Linked DNA regions of Rhinolophus ferrumequinum. The protein of the gene in region 2 interacts with the protein of the main gene of each other region in a pairwise test. Links are inferred from orthologs where the notes say so. Each region holds a gene or a part of one and is shown on either strand. Other genes may lie near its edges.

What was found.
Region 1: the proteins of GRB7 (region 2) and LAX1 interact in binary tests that used the Homo sapiens proteins (3 or more experiments, as listed by UniProt). The two-hybrid records come from large-scale screens. The link is inferred for Rhinolophus ferrumequinum from reciprocal best matches to the Homo sapiens genes GRB7 and LAX1.

The regions. Positions count from the first base shown.
Region 1 is NC_046305.1:27,267,049-27,278,165, forward strand, and holds the start of LAX1 (lymphocyte transmembrane adapter 1), read right to left. Parts: upstream 5,296-11,117; coding exon 5,207-5,295; intron 2,742-5,206; coding exon 2,632-2,741; intron 2,256-2,631; coding exon 2,145-2,255; intron 1,574-2,144; coding exon 1,488-1,573; intron 1-1,487. UniProt on the Homo sapiens protein: Negatively regulates TCR (T-cell antigen receptor)-mediated signaling in T-cells and BCR (B-cell antigen receptor)-mediated signaling in B-cells.
Region 2 is NC_046304.1:36,329,400-36,341,183, reverse strand, and holds the start of GRB7 (growth factor receptor-bound protein 7), read right to left. Parts: upstream 5,145-11,784; 5' UTR 4,969-5,144; intron 4,883-4,968; exon of another isoform or gene 4,860-4,882; intron 4,849-4,859; exon of another isoform or gene 4,702-4,848; intron 879-4,701; 5' UTR 874-878; coding exon 722-873; intron 605-721; coding exon 454-604; intron 272-453; coding exon 115-271; intron 1-114. Other genes in the region: MIEN1 (migration and invasion enhancer 1), read left to right, coding at 10,340-10,428, 10,531-10,628, 11,071-11,147, 11,232-11,315. UniProt on the Homo sapiens protein: Adapter protein that interacts with the cytoplasmic domain of numerous receptor kinases and modulates down-stream signaling. Promotes activation of down-stream protein kinases, including STAT3, AKT1, MAPK1 and/or MAPK3. Promotes activation of HRAS.

The DNA.
Region 1 (11,117 bases), on a different chromosome or scaffold from region 2:
GCCTCAATGTGGGGATTCAATGGGGTGTGGGGAGAAATATTGTAAACTGGAGCGAGCCTGCTACCTCAGAGCACATTGAGGGGCAACACAGAATAGTGGCTAAAAGTAGAGACTTGGACTCAGACTGAGGGTGCTATTCCCAACCTCACCACTTTGTGCTGAATTTGGGCAAATTACCTAATCTCTCTGTGCTTTCATTTCCTAATTTATAAAATGAGGATAATTATATCAATAATATCTATATCATCAGGTTTCTGTGAGGAGTAAATGGATTATTACATGTAAAGTATTTAAAATCACTCCTGACACCCAGAAAACACTAAAAAATATTTGCATTATTATTAAAGGGGCAGCTGACACACAGAATCAGCTGATTATGGCCACTTAGGGATGCTGGTTTGATGTTTCCAGAATTCCTGAATTTTCAAGAAAAGCTGGACATCTGGCCTTTAATGTGAAATCTTTTAGATTTTTAAATGTTGGGCCACTGGCTCAAAATGTTTTTCAGACATTTAGTCCAAGCTAAATATTTTTGTAGGCTGAAGTCAGTTTGGGATCTAAGCTCTAGATGCAAAATCCCCTCAGGACCCACCTGAGTCTTGGAGTGGAGTCTTTTCTTTCTTGCCCTTTACCAGTGGAGCCCAAGTATGGGACAGGTGGAAAGAGGAGGAAGCAAAGCTGGCAACAGGGAGGTAGCCATATGGTAAAGACAGGCTAGGTAGCACCACCATCATCAGCATAACTGCATTTGCTTGAGATGACCGTAAAACCGAAGGGACTCATTCTTTAACAAGTAAACAAGAACTTAGCTATGGAAATGAGCACCCTAGTCCTCAGAGCGGTCCCTCTGCTGTGCCTCTGCTCCACGCTGTGTGGGACTCCTCTGTGGGAGCTGCCTTCAGAGCCAGGTGAAAAGACACATGGGATTATTAATTGTAACACTTCTTTTGTAACCTCAAAGGGTAGCTCGCATTTGATCAAACACTTTCTACACCAGTGCCAGTGACTTATGACTATTTCTGCTGTTGAGGATAATTGAAATAATTTGACACAAGCCCAAGAAGTAATTCCCAAAGCAGGGTTTTATGTCTGTTTTGAGCACCAACAGCAATGTTGGAATATCTGTGACCCTCTGGAGGTGAATTACTTTGAAAAGGACTATGCTTATTTGAATAAGCACATTATCATGTCTTTGTTAAAACAACCCATTACAGTTCTAACATCACGTCCTGGAGTATTGTTGCCCTGGTGCCCTTCTTAAAATCCAAGCACTTGCTCATATCTATCTTAATTTTTCTCCTTGGGCAGTAGGGAGGTCCTGAGGCTAGTCTTCCTGATTTATTAATAAGGTCGCAAGGGCGAGTGCCAAAGGACACGTTGTTCGACTCTGATGACAAGATTGAGGACCTGTGACTCTTTCACCTGAGTTTTTCTGCCAGAAATTAGTCATTTCTCCCAAGAAGCTGGTCATTTCACATGACTCTTACCATATGTGCTGAGGGAGGGCTGTCAGAGTTTCTGGGAAGGAGGTTCTCGGTACTGAAAATGCGTATACTCCTCAACTGATGTCTGCCTGAAAGGACAGAGAACAAATCCTGACGATAGTTAGCCAGTCCTAGCTTCAGCCTCAACACTCCCTGTATCATGAGTGAAGTGGGTTTGTGTGGTGTCTGATGTTTGCGGGCTGGTGTTCTGTAGCACTCCAGATGGTCAGTACTACAAGCATGGTGAGCTCTGAGACCTGGAGCCCTCCTCAGCTTCTGAGGTCACAGGGAACATGAGCACAAGGCTGTTGAGGCTGGGAAGGAAGCTCCTGGTGGGAACCCTCCCTGCCTGTCATGCTGGAAGCCATGTTATTCTTCTGAGTGTCTTCTCCATCCCTAGACACACCCATCTGTCCTCCGCTACCTTAACATCAAGAAAAAAACCCAAAACTAGACAACCCCTGCTCCCTTTTTAGAGCTCTCTAGGCCCCCCCACTGGCGTTGCATTTTATAGTCTATCTATCCCATTCTCCTCCATGCTCCCTTATGGGCAGGAAGTTCTAGAAGTTTAGAGGAAGTTGCTTCCAGGTGGTGAGAGGTGCATTTTGGGGGCAGAACTTCAGTATGTCAGGCCTCTATGGATTACAAAGAAAAACCTACCCAGCTCTTCTTGCCTCCGGGGCAAGAAGTCATAAATATTTTTGGCTCGTTGCCTGGGTCGAGGCAGAGTCCGTAAGGGCATGATGGTAACTTGCAGGTAAAGACCTCGCCCTGCATGGCAACGAGAGAGAAGGGGACTCTTGGGGATGAAATTGTCCCTGAAAGCATTTCCTCACCCAGCATCATAAAAACTGAATTTTTAGACTTGGCAAATTCCATTTGAGCTACAAAAATAGGGGGCTTGGTGGACAAAGCAGAAAACAGGGAAGAGAAAACGGGGGCACAGGGTTACTAGGGCAATGATTTTCAAAATGGATCCACAATCAGCACTGAGCCTTTTGGAGCCACAACCTACAATCTTAATTGAATCAAGGACCAGTGTGTCCTTGGTGCAATAGCGTATCCCTAGAGAATAAACTGGGCTTTAAATGCCAGGCTAGATTATTAGTCCTAGTGTGTCTCAACTTTGGACAAACAAGGGACTCACGCTTTTTCCGTTTATTCCAGTTCCACAGGACACAGAGAACCGCGATGACCAGGAGGACGGCGAGGAGTCCCGCAAACCCAGAAAAGATGCTGCTGCTCTGGTCTTTATATCTAAGAGGAAAACCGAGTGCCAGGACCCAGCTGTGGGAGGGTGGGGAGGTTGGAGAAAATGCTTCTTTCAGGAGTTTGAGCCAATTTGGAATGGAAGCCGGGTACAGGAAGGCTGAGGTGGGATAGGCTGTGTAGTGGAAGACGGCCATCTCTTCGTGGGCAGAGGGAAATTGTACGCTGGAGAAGGACTATCCTGTGTGAATACCTATTGGATGCCTGGGTTTTGCATGTGATACTTATTTAATCTTTGCAACAGTCCCATCTCTCTTTGTGGCCAAGGAACCTGAGATTTAAACTCAGAAAGGTAAAGTCACATATCAGAGATCACACAGGCAGGAAGGAGCAAAATTGGAATGTGAGTCTAGGTGTGCCCAAAAATCGTGCTCTTTCCACTGCATCACACTGACCTCCAAACTTGCAGAGTCAAGTTCATCAGCCCTTGCTTCCCCTCATTCCGGATCCTGGGTGGATTACCCAATTTACAGTTAGAGTGTGGCTCTGTGACAGTCCAGCTTGTGTGCACTTGGGTAACTTTCACAGGACCAACAACTTGTGGAGCTGGTCTCCAAGCAACACTCTGTTCTGTTGAATTTAACCAATGCAAATGCACCGAGCAAGTTCTGTGCCACTTGCAATTCCCCTGCGGGGCTGGCATTCGTGTTCTGCGTTGTCTATTGTAACAGCAAGTAGCCAGAAGGAATCACTAGCTGACCTGCCACCCCCAAATATAGGAACCAGGTCATCCATCAGGGAAAGATTTTGTCCTCCTGAGTTCTAGGCTTGTTTATCCAACTTTGTACTGGGCATTTCCACTAGGCTGCCTGACATCTCAAACCAAATCTGTCTGAAACAGAACTATTCTCTCCCCATAAACCTCCTCCTACTCTGGGGTTTCCCATCATCTAGTAGCTCAGTCTAAAACCATCCTTGACTGTTCTCTTTCTTTCATGACCCACTTCTAGTCAACCAGCAGATTCTGTTGCTCAGTCCTAGGCATCTATCCCAGATCCCATCACCTCTCATTCCTCCACTGCCACCTCCTGGCCTAAGACACTGTGTGTTCCACATGGACCTTTGCGACGACCTTCCTAATTGGTCTCCATGTTTGCACTCTCAGCGCCAGCATACTATCTTCACACATGAGCCAGTGTGATCCTCTAGAAGGTTAATCAGATCACATTGCTCTTCCACTTGCAACCCTCCATGATTTGCCATCACACCTGATAATAGCCATAGTCCCCACCCAGTGAGGACTTCATGGCATCTTATGTTCTGGCCTCTGCCTATCTTCTGACCTTATTTCCTACCAACTTTGACTTTGACCACCAGGATTCCTTGCTGTTCCTTGCCGGTGCAAATCATAGTCCTGTCTCAGACCTGTCTGCATGGCTCAGTCCCTCATTTCATCCAGGTCTTTTGTGAATGTCACCTCCTCAGATAGGTCCTCCCTGGCCACACCTATTATTCTCAGTCCCCTTACTCTGATTATTCTTCATAGCATTTATGACTGACGTTATAGTATACATTCATTTGTTTAGCTGTTTCTGATCTCCCACTTGATTGTAAACTCCAGGAAGTCACAGACTTGTCTACCTTGTTCACCTGGAATCTAACAGTGCCTGGTACTTACTAAGGGCCTGATGAATATTGGTTAAATGCATGAGTGAGTGAATTAATAAACAAATGAATAAATACAGAAATCGTTTTGTTTTTTTTGTGTGGGGGACACTCCAAGGTTCTGACTTTATAAATTTAACTCCCATCAATGCTCCTGCCCACCTGCAAGTGACATGTGTTTGTCATGGTAATATTTATTTCCCCAAATTACAGCAATTTAAAATTTATTATACTTGTGTTGTTATCATAGCACTGAAATTTAGACCTACCAGTGTTCCTAAAGTTTCAACTGCTGATGGACTTTTATTTTTGTTAGTAAGATACTGAACGTAAAGATATAGCAGTAAAATTGATATCTACAACTAGTTCTGTGAGATTGTATGTCCTAAAGATATATCTTTAAAAAATATAATCATAACTATGGCTCATGGCAAATTTTTAGGACCTAAAAACACATCTTTGGAAAAAGTGGGCCTTCTGTTTTCATCATGGTGGACCTAGTATTTTTTTGAGGAGTGATTTGTGGGATCTGAGATAGGAAAGACTGAGGACTGTGATCAGGGCACCTGAGAGGTGAGAAATCCAACCAAGCCAGGCAGCCAGATCTCAGGAAATCCTGTGTTATCATAGCTTTTCCTTTCCCCCAATGACTCCTTTTACTCCTCAGTTCCTATTCCTTTCTTCCCAGTAACCTTGAGCAAATTTCTTTGAGCCTAGACTTTGATGGTTTTAGTGAACCTGAGTCTGGTTGTAGGTGGTAGCACTGTAGGATAGAAAACCCCCAAGGTAGATCAGGGCCCTCTGTGTAATTCAGGGAAGGGTGGAGTTCACCACCCTGAGCCACTTACCTGTCCAACCTGCCGAGAGTTACCTCTAGAGAGCTGGGCTCCGAGGTACTTCCTCTGATGTCTGAAAGTGTCGGGGTGATGACATCCATTGTCCACAGGAACCTCTTTGGCTTCAGCTTCTCCTTCTAAGCCTTCTCTTAAGCATAATTAGCTAGCCAGCATGTCTGCCACTTTTTCTGGCTTTTCCCAAGATTCTGTCCCCAGGAGAAAAGGCAAAATTGGTTTGCATTTTACATATAATCCTGTGTGGTAAAGCTACTTTTTTTAGTAGATAAGAATAACAGAAATCCTGTTGTTCTCCATCCATGACTTCCAAACACTCCCAGTACACAACTTTCTACTCTCGCAATTTATTCCTCTGAAATCTTTATTCACCACAGTCCCTCACCAAAAAAAAGTTTCTTGGTTTTTAAACTTCCAATCTTTCTAGAATTTTTCCCCCCAACAAACTCCCTACTATGTGTTTACCCCTGAAATGTCAGGCTGAGTTGACCCAAAATACAAAAACAACAAGTTTGGTTCTTCCTGGATGTGGCCACAAATGCCCATTGTAGAAGGGGAGAGTACATCTGGTGTCATGCTCCTTTTAAGGTGGCTCAGGGAGAAGCCATAGTCTTTGCCTTCTGGTGAAAATGTGAGGGGCACAGAGGTGGGAACTGCCAAGAGGCTAGAGAGAGAGGCTCCGTGAGAAGCTCATCTACTCCAGCCCCCAAAGCAGAGAAAAGAGCAGACACTTTGCCAGAATGGAAACAGAGAGTCAGTGACAGGAAGCGACACCACCAATGTGCTAATGAAACATGGTATACAGGAAATGCTGCTCAGCTTTTAATAAGAAAGAAAAAAGCACATTTGCACCCCCTGTTCCCTGGATTGGCCAGGTGCTCCATTGTCTATGGGGAGTGTGGGCAAGGTGGCAGGGCATTCACCAATCCTTCATCCTGGGTTTCTGAGGTATTTAGTGTTTTATAAGCCTCCAGGTTTCTAATTTTTTAACAAGTTTAAGGAGAACTGGAGAGTGCTTTTTAGACACAAATGCGGATCTCTAGCACCTGATGCTAATTCGCGGGTGGAGAGTGCTGAGTTTGTTTTCATAAACGCTGCCCAGGTGATTTTGATGGAGCTGATCTATTTCACATTTTGAGAACCTCTGTTCTGGGTATTGCCCCACAATGGAGATGACGCTGGGTTAGCAGAGCTCCTGGAAGCCATTTCAGCTCTCTCTTTCCCCCCCTACTCCCTGAAGGCCTGCCCTGAAGGCAGTCAGTGGCCCCAACTGCTAGCTGTCTTGCTCATAGGGCTCTTCTGGAGAAGGTGGATCCAGTCCTGCTTGTTGTGAACCTGTCTCAGAAGCCAATTGTTCATCCCTTGTGTCTACCTAAAGTGTCCCAAACTTTGAGGATAGTTCAAAATTTGTTTCTGACTCCCTTCCCCTCTTCCTCTTACCAATCTCCTAAAACTCTCTTTGCATCTTGGGAGAGTCCAAAGAGAAGGCGCCACTAAGACTATTAAGAGGGTGTGAAAAAGAGCCTCTGACTTTGCTTTCCACAAGAAAAGGGATTCCCAGGTGGATGGCAGGAAAGACAGCCAGTGCCTCACCACCATGCATCTCTCCCATCTCTTCCCTGTCAACCCCTGCCCTGCACCTGTCCAGGCCCTCACAGGTCCCCTAGTAGAGGGGGCCCCCTGTCTGGCTCTCCCTGGAGCTCTGCCATTCCAGGTCCTCACTGTCCCCACTGTCCCCACTGTCCAAGTTAGCCTTACCTGGCAGGATGCAGAGATGGCTCAGAGGCAGCTGGGTCTAGAGCTGGAATCTGGGTCTTTGTCCACTTCTCCTTTAGTTCGGGACTGAGTAAGAAATAGGACTCCTCACGGGAAAAAGATCCATTGCTCTGGTTAGTGGCTGGGACTGTTGGAACAGAGAGGCTCCCCAGGCCTGTCCTGAGCCACTGGCACCAATAGGAGACTGTGTGTGAACCAGGAACTTGAAAGATGATACACAGGAAGGCAGATAGAACCAAACCTTAGAACCCTGACTACTACTTGAAATATTTTTTTTTCCAAAATACTTCCCCCTGCATGTAATCATCTCTTTATCTACCCAGCCTGCTTGAGTTACACAAAACTTGCCTCTGGTCTTCTGATTCTCTCCTGCCTCACACTTGAGGGAAATAGCCTTCTCAAAGGAGGCTCCCAGGAGCAGAAGGAAGTCCAGGTTTCTAGGCCCTTGGCAGTACCCTTCCACCATGCTCTTCTTTCCCTCCCTATGGAACATAAACCAATTAAGCCAGCAATTAAAACACAAAATAGGTGTCTGAAGTTATTCATCATAATAGTGGAAGGAAATTATTCATTCCTGAGAAATAGCATATATGTTTTAAACCTGATTGCTCTAGTGTTTCCCTTTAACCACTTGTAATGATTTCGGAGGTTGAATGTGACATATGATTCTAAAGTATTGTTAAAGAGAAAACCACAGGCCCAAAATGGCCTCACTTGTGTTAAAGCCCATATTAAACCTAGACTTACTACTTGATTTAACTGCAGTTTCAGCTTCTCCCAGAAATATAATCTTAGTTAACCATTCTGGAATTTTCTAGTCAAACACCCCTAAGGTAATCTGTTGCTTGGGCCTTCTCCATCCACCCACCTCAAAGGAAGAAGAGGCAATCTGCATGACAGAATACTTGCCTTTCCATTCCCCCATAAAATAAGATGTTCTGGTTTAAAAATAATCCTTTTTGTTTTGCTAATGACTCCCCTGTTCCACCCTTCTTACTATAAAAACCATCCATTTTGTACAAGTCCTCAGAACGCCCCTCTACTCGCTAGATGAGATGATGCTGGATACATGAATCACTTAATAAAGCCAACTAGATCTTTAGATTTACTCGGTTAAATTTTGTTCTCTAACAGTATTAAAATTTATTTTAAATAGAACTTATGCATCCAAGTGAGCAAAACCCCTTGAGGGGAGGAGGCTACACGTTAAATCATCGATGTTGCTAATGTCAAACCTCTCAGAATCCTCTTTGGAAAGATGGAAGCCTTGCATTAAGAGTATCAACATGAGTTTAGATCCTAAATTACTATTTGGGTGATCTTGGGCAGGTCCTCTAACCTTTTTGGGTGTTTCCTTGGATGTATAGTGTCAATAATAATAGTACTTAGGTAAAGCTGTTGTGAGAGTTAATTGGGCTAACAATGAAAAATGCTTGGCCTTGGACTTGGCATGTGCAAGAAGAGCTCAGTTAAATGGGCTGCTGTTGTACTATTATCTCATGAGTCATGAGGCTTATTTCTTTATACTTAATGGACTTGCCACTTGCCTTCCCCCTTTCCTCTCTGGATGCTTGGCCTGCCTGCCTTCCCACGGCATGGGGCTAGCCACGGGCTGTGTCCATAAAATAGACTAGGTCCCTGCCCTCCCCTCATGCAGTGGTCAGTCTTGGCTGGCCACCGCTTGGAAGGCACTCTGCATTCCAAGCAGACCCAGCTTTTTGTCACTTTTCTACTTGGGGCCTTTGCATGACAAGTTTCTTCATTTTAATAACAGTTTCTTATTTTCTTGTAAACTTCCAATGAAGTCGCATTTTAAGAGTTTATTTTAATTATTTCTTGCTTTGGTGCTTGAGGTAGTTTGTTACTTTATCTGGACACTTATTGTTTGAATTATTAGAAAGATCAAGTGTCATTTTTATTTTTAAAAATTATTTTAATACAAAGTGACCTAAGTGTCACCACCTCTGTGAAGCCTTCCTCTCCCAAGAACCAGATTCTTTTTTGTCTGTGTCCCCACGGCACCATGCATGATACTGCCTCTCAGTTGTTGGGATTAGTTGTTGAAATGTCTGTCTCCCCAAGTAGTCTTTGAACCCCTTCCGGGCAGGAACTGTTGTATTTACTGAATCTCTGGCATTTGGCACAGTGCGAGTAAACTGGGCTCTCGGAGTTCCCTTAGGTGCTATTGCTGCTGTGAATTTATGACCTAAGTGTATAATGGGTGAGACATTGAGGAAGAAATCAGCGGCTAGTCTTTCTTCCTGTGTGCACTCATCAGCCAAAGGAAGAAGTCCTGCTCTCCCTGTTCTCTGCAGGAAGAGAACCCTGAACTCTTGGGTTGGGTCTCCTTTGCCCAAGGAAAGGGTTAACAGCGGCTTTTGTATTTCTGGGTCAAAACACCCAAATTACCCCATGTGAAAGACAATTTCAGCCAGGCTTTGTTTTTGAAGGTTTATTTGCTGAGACAACCAGGCAGAATTACAGTGGGGGGCCTTAATGGTGGCAATCCCCACCCTCCCTGTTCATTTGCTGGTATCCTGGATGCCTTCTCCAGTCCAGACAAGTCTGAAACAGAGAACAAAGGCAGCAAATACCTTCCTTTCAAGTTAAAGTTGTGAGACAGCAGGGTTAGGATAAAGAGATTTAGAAACTGTAGAAATGTTTCTCTAACTTGTCTGCTCCTTGTCCCCACTCCACCCAAGGCCCTTGGGAAGGAGGAGAATTTGAAAGCAAGAAGTGTGACCAGACAAGGGGATAGTTTCTGTTCCCCACTCAAGTTAAGCCTTAGTAGAGGAGGTGGGTTGGCACTGCTGACAAGGTAAGAGAGCCCTTTCTTTAAGCCTGAAAGGAGGGCAGACCTTGCCTACTTGGTCCTTCTGGAGTTCACCATTTATGAGCCTCACCTTGATTCTCTGTAGCTGCAGAGCCAGAGCAGAGATGGCTGTGAGGCATGTCTGACGAGCAAATGTCTGCTGACAGCCCAAGGCATCCCTTAGCCCACAGGTGCCCCTCCACCAGCCCACACATGCAGAGAGTTTCTGACCCCCGGGCCCTGACTGGAAGGAGGTGAACCCTCAGCAGAGGGAGCAGGGTGGGTAGTCATGTTAGGAATGTAATGAGGGCATAACGCATCTCAGAGGAGGCGGCAGGACAGAGGACCTGGGAACCAGACAGCCATATGACAGCAGGACTGAGAGGCTAGAGCAGGGAAGGCCTATAGAGCAGGTCAAGATGGTTTTCTGTTTCCTTCTTGTGGAGTGAATAGAATATAATTTCAATCATTTCATTAACCAGGGCATTGTGAACAAGCTAAGGTGGCAAGCAATATATCTTAATTTTTTTTACAAGCATTTTATTTTCATGATTTTTGCATCATAGGACAAGAGCATGATAGTAGGGCTTGGATTTACCTGTATCCTAAAGGATACCTGTATCCTAAAGGTATGAGGCTAGGCCCACATGTGGCATGTGTGGTAGCTAAAGCTGCATTGTTCTTTCATTTTTCCCTACATTGAGGTCACACAACAGCCAGCATGATTCCCTTAAACTGTGAGGTAGATCATCATTTCAGTCCTCAGTTCAAACCCTCCAATGAATTCCCATTTCATCAAGCCAACCTTATAATGGCTTGCAGGTTCTGCCCCCACTTCCAACCCTCCATCTCTGAATTTATCTCCTATGCTTTTCCACTTAGTCAGTCAGTTCCAACCCCTGGCTTCCTTGTATGTCCTCAAACAAATCAAGACCTCCTGCCTCAGGGCTTTTGAAGTTGCTGTGCCCTATGTTGGGAATCTTTTTCCTCCACATATTGATATAGCTCACTCTCTTACTCCCTTCACACGTCTTCACAAATGTCTCTGTCAGAGAGGACTTCCCTGACCACTCTACAAAAGAGCAACTCTCGTGCCCTGTGCTTCCTATTTCACTTGTACACTTTACCTTTCTCCTGGTCCTTGTTGACATTCGACATGCTATATATTTACTTGTGTATTTTTCTCTCTCTTCCACAAGACTGAGTTCAAAGAGGGCAGGACTTTGTTTTGTTCCCTGTTGTATCCCCAGTGCATACAACAGTGCATGGACAATAAACCCTTATTAAATGAATCAATGAAGCAACATCCAAGGGGAGGAG
Region 2 (11,784 bases):
GGGCAAAAAGCGGGGTCAGTGGACATCAGCCAAGGCCTCTCGGATGAGCCATCTCCCTAGCCCAACTGGGAAGCATGTCCTCCCCGTCCAGGCAGACCCTGCACCTCAACTCACCCAGTGCTAGATGGGGGTGGCACTCCACCAGCCCCCAGTTCTCATCACTGAGGGCGTGAGCTCGCTGCACCAGCATTTCACATACATAGCGGGCCGTGGCACCTGCCGCCACCTCCACAGACCGACAGGCTCCGTCTTCGCTGTACACCTTTACTACCTGCACCCCAGGAATTGCAGAGTCCTTGAGGAAGGGCAAAGGGCGGTCCTTTCCCTTCCCCCATCTGCTATGCCCTCAGGGACACCTAATCAAGTCCCCCCACCTTCACAGAAGTAGCACTATATCCACGGTGTCCCATAGCACCTCCACATCCCTGCCTTCTCGTTCCCAGGACAACTCACATGGGGGCAGCTGGCGTCTCGAGGAAGCAGCCCCCTTGCACTAGAGGGCCCCCCGAGAATGGGGCTCTGTGAAGAAGGACTGCAGAGCTCGGGGAAAGGGTTGGGGATGGAGGGTAGAGAGGTCGTCCGCAGCTCCTCCTCTCGAAGTTTCCTGTGTGGGGCAGGGAGGAGTTGACTGCAAGCTTCTAGGTATGACCACCGCCCTCCTGCCTCCCCCTCCGCCCCCCCCCCCCCGCCAGCCCTCCTCAGCCCCAGCTCCCCATCGTACCTGCTGGTGGGAATAGGCAGAGGCTGAGACCTCTTCACCTCCCCAGGCAGAGGGCTATCAGGAGGCGGAGGAGTCCCAGGAGGGGTCCCAGGGGCTGGGTACAGGTCTTCTGGGGAGCTGCTGCGATGAGGTGGAGACAGACCCAACTCCATGACATCTGAAGGAGAAGAGGGGGCTGAATGCAGCCGCTCTTGTGCCTTTGTCTTGGGGAGAGGAGCCAAGAAGACCCCGACTTCCTCACTTCACATAGATGTCAGGTGCCGCTCAGAGTTTACCTAGTACCTCATTGTTTCCCTTCTAACTGGAGTTTCCCTGGAAACTTTGGGAAAAGAAAAGTTAGTCCATTTTACAAAAGGGGGCACCAAGTCCCTGAGAAGGAAGCATTCTCGCTCCCATCACAGATAAGCCAGGGAGAGGAACCCAGTGTTGGGACACCTAGTCCAGTGCTCTTCTCTTCCTTTAGCCCCAAGTTGCCCAAGACAAGAGCTAAGAGGGTCCCCCAACTACAAGCCGGGCAACAGCAACAGATTCCAGGACCCACAGATTTGTCTGGGGCTCAAGCTCTCAGTGTCAGAGCAAAGGGCCACTCCTCTCTCTCCGAGCGTGGGGCACTTACTCCTCTGGGCTCTGCCCCAGGTTCTTCCAGTGCTTTGTTGCCAGACCTGGTTGCCAGAGCCTGTTGTGGCAACGCCTGCCCAAGTGCTGAGTGATGCAAAGGGGAGGAGGAGGTGAGTAAGAACAGGTACCAGGGGGGCAGGGTCAGCTGCAGTGGGATGGGGAGGGCTAGCCTGGGGCCCTGGCCCCAGCAGCCCCCAAACCCGTGTGCCCTCCCCAGGCCATTCCAACTGCCCAACTTTCTTAAAGCCCCAATGCCAGACCTACCATTTCTGAGAAGCCTTCCTGAATTTTCTACATTCAGTTGGAAGGGCTCCCAGGGTACTGCACTGGGGCTTCCTCGCCAATTACTGTGCACCTGTCTTATCAACCCACTGGTCTGGAGATACTCGGCTCTCCTAGGCAGGGCCAGGGTCTTCCCCAAGTCTTAGCACCCACAGGTGCTGCATGGGCACCCAGGATGAGTAAGGATAGGAGAAATGGGGCAAAGATGCCCACTGGGGGTAGAGGTAATGCAGGCCCCTCCCCCACAGGAACCAAGATCCCTTTGGCTGGGCTGAGACCAGGGAGGACCTGGGAGACATCACCAGTTCCAGCCCCCTGCCTGCTCTCCAGACCCTGGGCAGTGTTGTTAGGCTGCCTGGGGCACTGGGATTGACCCTCCAGAATGGGGCACGTCCCTGACCCTTAAGTGTGGGCATGAGGGGACTTGGGGGACAGCTGAGTCAGGGTGGGGCGGGATGGTACTGCCTGGGGCTCTCCATTCAACCTTGACTCATCTGCACAACTTCCTGGCTTAAGAGAAACACAAACAACCCTGCCTCTACACACCGCCTCCACTCCCGCCCCCAACCTTCCAGCCTGGGAGGAATAGGGAAGGCACAGGGCAAGGAACACAACAGGGGATGAGGAGGAGCAAGGGAGGAGGATACAGGGCCTGAGGCTCCTCTGACATCATCTCTTCCTCCTCACCCTCGGCCTACCTCCACATCTCCAGTCCAGGTGGGACCTGCAATCTGTCCCCAGTCCAGTCACCACCACCCAACCCAGGAGCACCCCAGTCCGGACAAGAGAGAAGAAAAATCAGGCCTGGATTTAGAGGCCCATCGGTAGTGGAGCCATCCTCCCAGGGGCGTCCCTCACTCACCCAAAGAAAGCTTGCATTGCTCCCTCTACTATATGGGGCCTCCCAGGCTTTCATTCTGCTGCTGCTGCCCGGCCCTAGTACCCAGGACTCAGCCAGCTCACGGGGGATGAAGGCCCTCCTACACATTCTCCTAGTGTCCTGGCAAGAGGTGGACCCCAGGAGCAGGAGCAGAAAGTCAAGACACCCAGGAGGACAGACAAGCAGACAAGGAAAGGTCCAGGAGGGAGAGCAAAGGAAGGGGCTCAGTATCCTACTGGGAAAGGGGAAGATATTCCCACCATTGATCCTGATAGACACCAGTACATCACCACCAGAACACAACGCTTCCACGAGGAGGACTAGGGAGAGGGTTTGCAGAGGCTACCCCTCTTGGAAGCCAGAGGCGAGGGGGGGGGGTCGGGGAGGAGTCTGGGTCCTCCCCCATCCCAGATGGAAGAGGAATCAGGGCAGTGTTTGGAAGGGGAGAGGGCAGATTTAAATCAGATTAGTATGGCCTCAAACTTGGGTTTGGTCTTCAGATCCCTCCACCCCGCCTCTTCCAGACCCTTCTGAGGCAAAGAGAAGAGTGGCACAATCAGGACCAAAGAGATGAAATAGGAGAACTGGGGTCCCAGCTGTGGGGCCTGGACAAGCCTCCTTCCCAAGAGAGCTAAAGCTTTCAAACTGGGGCCTTAGGAAATTCGCTTCTGCTGAAGCCAAACCCCAGAATCAATCTGTCCCCTAAACACTGCAAGTCCAAGCAGCGGCTTTCCCCACCGCCTCTCCTGCCCCGGCGGCTCCGGCCCCACCCTCCTTCCCTCCCTGCCTGCCTCCTGCCTCCTGCCTCCTTGTTTACTTCCTGAATCTTGCCCCACCTGGCTGGCCCCAAGGGCGGGTGGCAAGGCCCAGTGTTTAAGGCCGACAGAAAACAAGGCCACGTTCGGTGCTTCCCAGGGTGGGGGGAGGGGCTAGCAGGACAGAGGCCTGGGCTGGGGCCCTGGACGTGGAGGGAAGACCGGGTCTAGCCCAGAACTTCATGCCCCGCCCCCATCGCGATTGATTGTAGCGGGGAAGGCTCAACTTTTGGGGGAGCTCTTATGGTGCAGGGCCCAGGTGAGGAGGCGGGGAACCCCTCTGTGACCCGGAGTTGGGGGGAGGGCCCTGGACCTTGAGGCCCCGCCTACTCCCTTGCTCAGAAAAGAAACGCCCAATGGGAGAAGGGGGGGCAGCTCTTTTAAAGTTTAATTTGGTAAGAATGCTAGAGTGTCTGTGGAGTTAATCATTACTGGCTGCTTGCCTTCGCGGAGGGCCCCCCCGGGGGGTATCAGGGGTGAAGGGGAGAGCAGAGTCCATGAAAGGCAGACCAAGAGGGGGCATTCTTGAGTGGCAGTGGGGTTAGGACACCTTTCAACCACGGACAGGTGCATTCTCCATCCTCAACGAGCCAGGGAGACCCAGACTGGGACCTGGGTCTTTCTCCGGCCTATTCAAACAGACGAGACCATCTGCCTCCCCCCCGACCCCCCAACACGCACACACACTCTCCCCAGGCCGCGCTGTGCGGCTGACCACCCCAGCAGCCAGGTCTCCAGCCTTTCCAGCCCACTTTGTTCTGAAGCCAGGAGGGACCCTGGACCTTCCCCGCCCCCATTCTCCCATTCGAGGGCAGGACCCTGTGTTCCTGAACACAGGTACAATCCGGAGAGACGAAGCTCTAGCAACGTAGAGAATCCCTCTTTAACTGCCCTCCAAACGAGACCCTCCCTCCCGTCGCAGAGATGTCGGTCTTTAGTAAAAGACTTGGGGAAACTTAAACTGAGGTAAAAATCAGGCTGAGCTAGGGAGTGACTCCGGGGCAGCTTCCTCGATATTCGGACCCCCCTCCTAGCTCGCCTTCTGAGAATGGGGGTGGGGAGGGGCTAGTTTCAGCGGGAAAGCCGCGTCTCCCGGAGTAGAGAATCTGACATCGAACTTCCCCGTCCCCATGTGCTAGTTGATCCGGGGGGCGGGGGGAGAAGGTTGGGTACAGAGAGGGAAGGAACGGTTGGAGAGGACAGGAAATGAGGATAGGGAAAGGCTGAGGGCAGACGGTGAGGAAGGGGAGGGATGGGGGGCTAGAGGAAAACAGAAAGAGAGGCCGCCGGAGTAACACAGCAGGAGGCCGAATCTTCCCATATTGTCCCCGGTCCTGACGGTGCTCCCCACCCTCCCAAGATGAAATGCCCGCTTTGGTCCTTACCTGGACCCGGGGCGTTGGTGACACCTGGCTGGGGCCTCCGATTTGGGGAGGGAGACGCCAAGCCCTTAACTACCTGTCCCCCTCCTGCCCCCGCCCTTGGCCTGACATCACTGAGGGGGGAACAGGAGAGGGAGCCAGTTGGCCGCCCGGCCGCTCACCTGGGCAGCCAGCCAGCTCCTGGCCCTGAGACGGGCACAGCCTGGGGCCCCGGTGCGGCTGGGGGGCGGGGTGCAGGTTGTCGTCTGGGACTGATCTCTGCCCCCTTACCTGTAAAAACCTCAGCAGGAGTAGCAGGACACAGAGTCCGAAGATCGGCACAGTCTAGGGACCCTAGACACCTGGACTTGATTTCAAATCCGCTCCCTCTTCTGTACAGGTGGTAGGAGGGTGTCCCGCCTTTGGATGTAGAAGTGAGGGCGGGGGGGAGGGTGAGCCCAGTGTGTACCGGCTCCTGGCGCAAGGAAACTAAAATTATCTTGGGCAGGTGGGGGTGGGGCCTGGAGGAGCGGCATGGGAGGAGGAAGCTTAGGCTGGGCGGGGACTCCCTGAAACTGTACGCCGGCTGGGATTGTTTTTACCCTTCTTAGCCTGGCAGCAGGTGCCAGGGGAGAGGCGGAGACAGTCGAACTGAATAGCCTCAAGAGCTAAGACCTCACAGCCTGGGAGGGAGGGACTGGGGGACGAGGTGAGAGGAAACGGCCCCGCCCACTTTTCCCCTTGCCCCCACCCCCCAAACCTGGAGTGTTCATTGGCCAAAGCTGGGGGCCTGCTCTGGGTCCCACCCCCTGGGGCAAAGGGCGCTCGACAAAAGGGGGCCGCCAATCAGAGGAGTGTCCGGCAACTCGGCCTGCCTCTTGACCTCCAGCCACAGCCTGGCCCCCCGGGCTGCATCCTGGCTCCTTTGAGGCACGGAGGGTATGTCCTCCCTTCTGAGCAAAATGCAGGGGCTTAGCTTCTCCTGAAATTGAAGGGGTAAGTCATGGTCTCTTGGTAGGGAAAGCTCTGGCCAGGTGCCAGGGTACTCCCCTAGAGCGCTCACTTTGGCTCTCTCCTTTTGCACTAGGCAAACACTGGGGTGTGGAGGGGAGGACCTGGGAGGCTGAGATCAAAGGCAGAGGCCACCTCCCAGCCTGAAGTGGGTGACAGTTGGGTAAACAAAACAACCCATAGGGTGATAAGAGGTCTGCCCTGGGAGACCATGAAAAGTGGCTCCAGCCTCCACTTTCTCCAAACTACATTTTCTCCGAAAAACCAGTGTGAGTGGACTAAGCAAAGAAGTGGGGGAGGGGGTAGGTCACCTGGGCCATGGAGTAGCTTATGCAAAGCACAGTAGACAGTTCACTCAGTCATTCCTTCATTCAACTAATATTTGTTAAGAATCTATTCTAGGCCAAACCCATGCTTGGTACTGGGGATCCAGTGGTAAGCAACAAACACAGGCCGCGCCCTTGTCCTCCTGTGGCCCAGTCGGGAGACTGATGCTAATCAAAGAATTATACAAATAATAAGAAACAACAGGTGACAAACGATGCTGGGAGAATGACTCACCCAGGGAGTTAAAGAAGACTTCTCCCTTGAGGTGACATTTGAGCAGAGGGGAAGCTGTCTGGGGCAGGGAAGTGGCTGTGGAAGGTGTGGGGAAAGGCAAGTGCTTTGGACTCAGCTGTGTTTCTCAAAGTGTAGCCGGTGACCACCTGCCTCTACATCTCCCTAGGCTTGTATGAAAAACAGATCCAGGTTCCCCTCCCTACCTCTGAATCTGTTTCTGGGGCCAAGACCCAGGAATGTGTGGTATTGACAAGCCCTCAGGTGGTTGTTCTGTGAACCAGGTTTAAGAGCCATCCATCCTGTCTGTCCAGACCAGCAGGAACTATGTGTGGGCAGAGGCCAGACCCTGCAGGGTCTACCTGGGCTTAAATAGAGGCACAGAGGAACAGGCAGATCTTTATTTTGGAAAGATCACTCTGGATGTTGAAGGATAGTTTAGAAAGGGAAGCCAGAGGACTGAGTGCTGTAGGATTCCATTAAGGCTTTCTGGAGGGGGTGAAACTAAAACAAGCAGATCTGGGGTTGGGGTGGGGTGGAGGGAGAGGGTCACAGGGACCTGTAGGAAGTAATGGACTGTTATGTATCTTGGTGTTGGTGGTGGATATACAACTGTGAGTCAGAACTCACAGAAAGGTACACTCAAGAGGGTGAATTTTACTGTGTATAAATTGTATCTGAATTTTTTTAATTAAAAAAAAGAAACAGAGCCGGCCCGGTGGCTCAGGCGGTTAGAGTTCCATGCTCCTAACTCCGAAGGCTGCCGGTTCGATTCCCACATGGGCCAGTGGGCTCTCAACCACAAGGTTGCCAGTTCAATTCTTCGAGTCCTGCAAGGGATGGTGGGCTCCGCCCCCTGCAACTAAGATTGAACATGGCACCTTGAGCTGAGCTGCTGCTGAGCTCCCAAATGGCTCAGTTGGTTGGAGCGCGTCCTCTCAACCACAAGGTTGCAGGTTTGACTCCCGCAAGGGATGGTGGGCTGCACCCCCTGCAACTAGCAACAGCAACTGGACCTGGAGCTGAGCTGCGCCCTCCACAACTAAGATTGAAAGGACAAAAACTTGACTTGGAAAAAAGGCCTGGAAGTACACACTGTTCCCCAACAAAGTCCTGTTCCCCTTCCCCAATAAAAAAAAAGAAAGAAAGAAACAAAAAATAGATGTATGGATCAATGGAACAGAATCAAGAGTCCAAATATAAAACCTTACATTTCTGGTCAATTGATTTTTGACAAAGATGCCAAGACAATTCAGGGTAAAAGGATAATCTTTTCAATAAACGGTTATGGGACGAATGAATATCCACATGCCTAAAGATGAATATAGATCCTTACCTGACACCATGTATGAAAATTAATTCAAAATAGATCATAGACCTAAACATAAGAGCTGAAACTATAAAACTTCTAGAAGAAACCAATGGAGAAAATCTTTATGATCTTGTATCTCACATACAGCAAAAGTGCAGGTGACAAAAGAAAAAAATTGGTCAATTAAACTTCATCAAAACTAAAATTTTTTGCCTTCCAAAAGACATTACTGGAGCAGCTAGTTAGCTCAGTTGGTTGGAGCGTGAGCTCTTAACAACAGGGTTGCCGGTTTAATCCCCACATGGGCCACTGTGAGTTGCGCCCTCCACAATTAGATTGAAACAACTACTTGACTTGGAGCTGACGGGTCCTGGAAAAACAGGCTTAAATAAATAAAAGTTAAAAAAAAAAAGATATAACTAAGAAAATTAAAACAAGAAACTTGTCAAACATTGGGAGTAAATATTTACAAGTCATCTATCCAGTTAGGGACTTTGAATTTAGAATAAAAAATGCTTACGAATCAGTAATAGACAACCCAATTAAAAATGGGCAAAATAGGGCCAGCCCGGTGGCTCAGGTGGTTGGAGCTCCATGCTCCTAACTCCGAAGGCTGCCGGTTCGATTCCCACATGGGCCAGTGGGCTCTCAACCACAAGGTTGCCAGTTCAACTCCTTGACTCCTGCATGGGATGGTGGGCTGCGCCCCCTGCAACTAGCAATGGCAACTGGACCTGGAGCTGAGCTGCACCCTCCACAACTAAGACTGAAAGGACAACAACTTGAAGCTGAACGGCACCCTCCACAACTAAGATTGAAAGGACAACAACTTGACTTGGAAAAACAGGCCTGGAAGTACACACTGTTCCCCCAATAAAGTCCTGTTCCTCTTCCCCAATAAAATCTTAAAAAAAAAAAATGGGCAAAATACTTGAATATATATTTTTCCAGATAAGATACATGAATGGCTAGTAAGCACATAAAAAGATGCTCAACATCATTAGTCATTAGAAAAATGCAAACTAAAGCCACAATGATATACCACCTCACACCTACCAGGATGGCTATAATCAAAGAGATAGGCAACAAGTGTTGACAAAGATATGGGGAAACAAATTCTCATATATTTTGCTATCGGGAATGTAAAATGGTACAGCCACTTTTTAAAACAGTTTGGCAGTTTCTTAAAAAGTTGAACATAAACTAACCATTCAACCCAGCAATTCTACTCCTAGGAATCTACCTAAGAAACGTGGACACACATGTACATACTCTTTGTATGTACTTACATGAACGTCCATAGCACCATTATTCAAAATAGCCAAAAACTGGAAATTCAAATGTCTATTCATCGGTATTGAATAAACAAAAGGTGGCATATCCATACAATGGGATACTAGTCAGCTACAAAAAAGTAACAAACTACTGGTAATACTACAGCATGGTTGAATCTCAAAAACTACACTGAATGAAAGAAGCCAGAAGCAAAAGACCACATATTGTATCATTCTATCTGATATACGAGATGTCCAGAAAAGGCAAATTTATAGACAGAAAGCAGATCAGTGGCTGGATCTGAGAGATGAATTGACTGCCAACAGGCTGGAGGGACCTCTTGAGCTTGATGGAAATGTTCTGTAACTGGATTGTAGTGATGGTTGTACAACTCTATAAATCATTGCTTACAAAATGGTTTTCCTGGGCCGGCCCAGTGGCTCAGGCAGTTGGAGCTCTGTGCTCCTGACTCTGAAGGCTGCCGGTTCGATTCCCACATGGGCCAGTGGGCTCTCAACCACAAGGTTGCCAGTTCCATTCCTCAGTCCTGCAAGGGATGGTGGGCTCCGCCCCCTGCAACTAGCAACTGGCAACTGGACCTGGAGCTGAGCTGCGCCCGCCACAACTAAGACTGAAAGAACAACTTGACTTGGAAAAAAGGCCTGGAAGTACACAATGTTCCCCAATAAAGTCCTGTTCCCCTTCCCCAATAAAATCTTTAAAAAATGGTTTTCCTGATACTAATATAGATAGATAGATAGAGGAAATAAATAAATGGAAAAACAATGAATGGTTTGAAGAAATCCAATGAATGGTTTAAAGAAATGGTAGAGTGGGTGACCTGTTAGTATGCTATGGTGGGCTATGGTGGGAAGCCAGGAAGAGACAGGGAGACAGCTTCCATTTCTAGAATTGCAAAATGAGAATAATGATGCCAACCTGTAGTGAAGCTGGGCTAACAGGGGAGGTGCAGGAACTGGGTGCACGTGATGGGGCGCATACAGCTTGAGGGGGAGCCCCAAAACCTATGGTTCCTGAATGCAGGGGAGACGTGGTCACTGCCCTAGGTTGTGTCTATGGTGTAGTCAGAAATACCTGAGGGTGTGGCTGTGGGATGGTTTAAAATGCCATCAGCATGTTAGCGAGAAATGGCAACTATTCTATACCATCAGCCAACCCTAGACCCTGAGACCCCTTGCTCCACCACATTCTCTTCCTGGAAAGCGCTTTGCAGTTTAAGATATTTCATTAGATCAAATAAGGCGGTGAAGTCCAGCGGACACCCGGTGCGGGATAAGCCCAGGATCTCGTAGAATCAGCGCGTAGGTAACGTGGTCTGGACTAGTCCACCGAGTGCCCAGCTTTCTAGCTAAGAATAGGGTCAAAACAGACCAGCAGCAGCAGCCCGCAAGGGGACGCCCGGACGTAACGCGCGACTCCGCCCCTTCACGTGCCTGCGGCGTCGCGTCACACCCGGAAGCAGCGGCTGAAGCGGAGCCCGCAGCAATGAGCGGGGACCTGGGGCCGACGTCTGCAGCGCCCCATCCCAGGGAGCTCGAACCTGGCAGTGGGGTCCGCATCGTGGTGGAGTACTGGTGAGCAGCTCTGCCCGGTGGGGTTCCGGCCCGGACGGGGGTGGGTCCACGGGAGCCCCCCCACCCCGAAACCCAAGCGGACCCCAGGCATCTTCTTCCTAGTGAACCCTGCGGCTTCGAGTCGACCTACCTGGAGCTGGCGAGTGCCGTGAAAGAGCAGTATCCTGGCATCGAGATTGAGTCGCGCCTGGGGGGCACAGGTGAGGCCCGCAGAACACCTGCTGAGTCAGTGTTTTTAAATCCCACCTCTAAGGTTTTTAGCTCCGGCATTGGCTGTTTTAGTGTCCAGCAGGATCTGGCACATAGTATATGTCCAGCCAACTTGAGGCCCCTCCCATAGGAGAGGGGGTCACAGATGAAGCCTGTAGAGAAAAACTGATGAGACTGAAGTATAGATTTGAGAGGAGGGAGCCCTTCATTTAGTTCAAAGAAAGGATACACAAGTGACAGACACTTTCTGTAGGTTCCTTTGGCTTGACCCAGGCTTGGAAAATTGCTTAAAGAACTACAAGAGCCTCTAATGGGGCCAAGGGGGACATGAAGGAGTGAGTCTAAGTTGTGTAGAAGGCCCACCTTTGGAGGATCTCCCAACTTTTGCCTGTTCTCAGCATACAGTTCATTTGTTGGTTTATTTACTACCAGGCGCCTTTGAGATCGAGATCAATGGACAGCTGGTTTTCTCCAAGCTGGAGAATGGGGGCTTCCCTTATGAGAAAGATGTGAGTATTTGCCATGTTGGAAGTACCCCCTGGTTCACCCTACCCCTACAACACATCATCCCATTCCACATGTCTGCCCTCTAGCTCATTGAGGCCATCCGAAGAGCCAGTAATGGAGAACCCCTAGAAAAGATCACCAACAGCCGACCTCCCTGCGTCATTCTGTGACTACATGGGATTCCGGGTTCCTGCTCTTCTGGGATCCAAGCCTTGGTCTCCCCTTTGGTCCTGCTGAGGGTTTCCCATTGCCTCTTTCCCTTAGCTCCTGGTAGCTAAGAGACCCTGGCCTCCACTTTGCCCTTTTGGGTACCAGGAGGGAATAGAAACTTATGTGGTCTCGGTGGGAGAGCCTCTCCGTTGACATTTCCACAGCCATCTTATACCCCCTTCCCAGGATCAGTGCCCACAAAAGCCCACCTCCGTCTCCAGCTTAGCCATAACTGTCGGATGCCATCGTAGTTTTAATTTATTTTCACTAGCCCTGAGCAATGTCAGCTATTGGCAATAAAGTGGCACTACAAACACCTGTGCCAACTAGTGTGTGTTTTTATGTCCAGTCTGAGAGTGGGGGCGTGGTTCGGGGAGCACAAAGGCCAGCCCAGCCTTTAACCAGGGTGGGCGTGCTGGATGGGTGGGC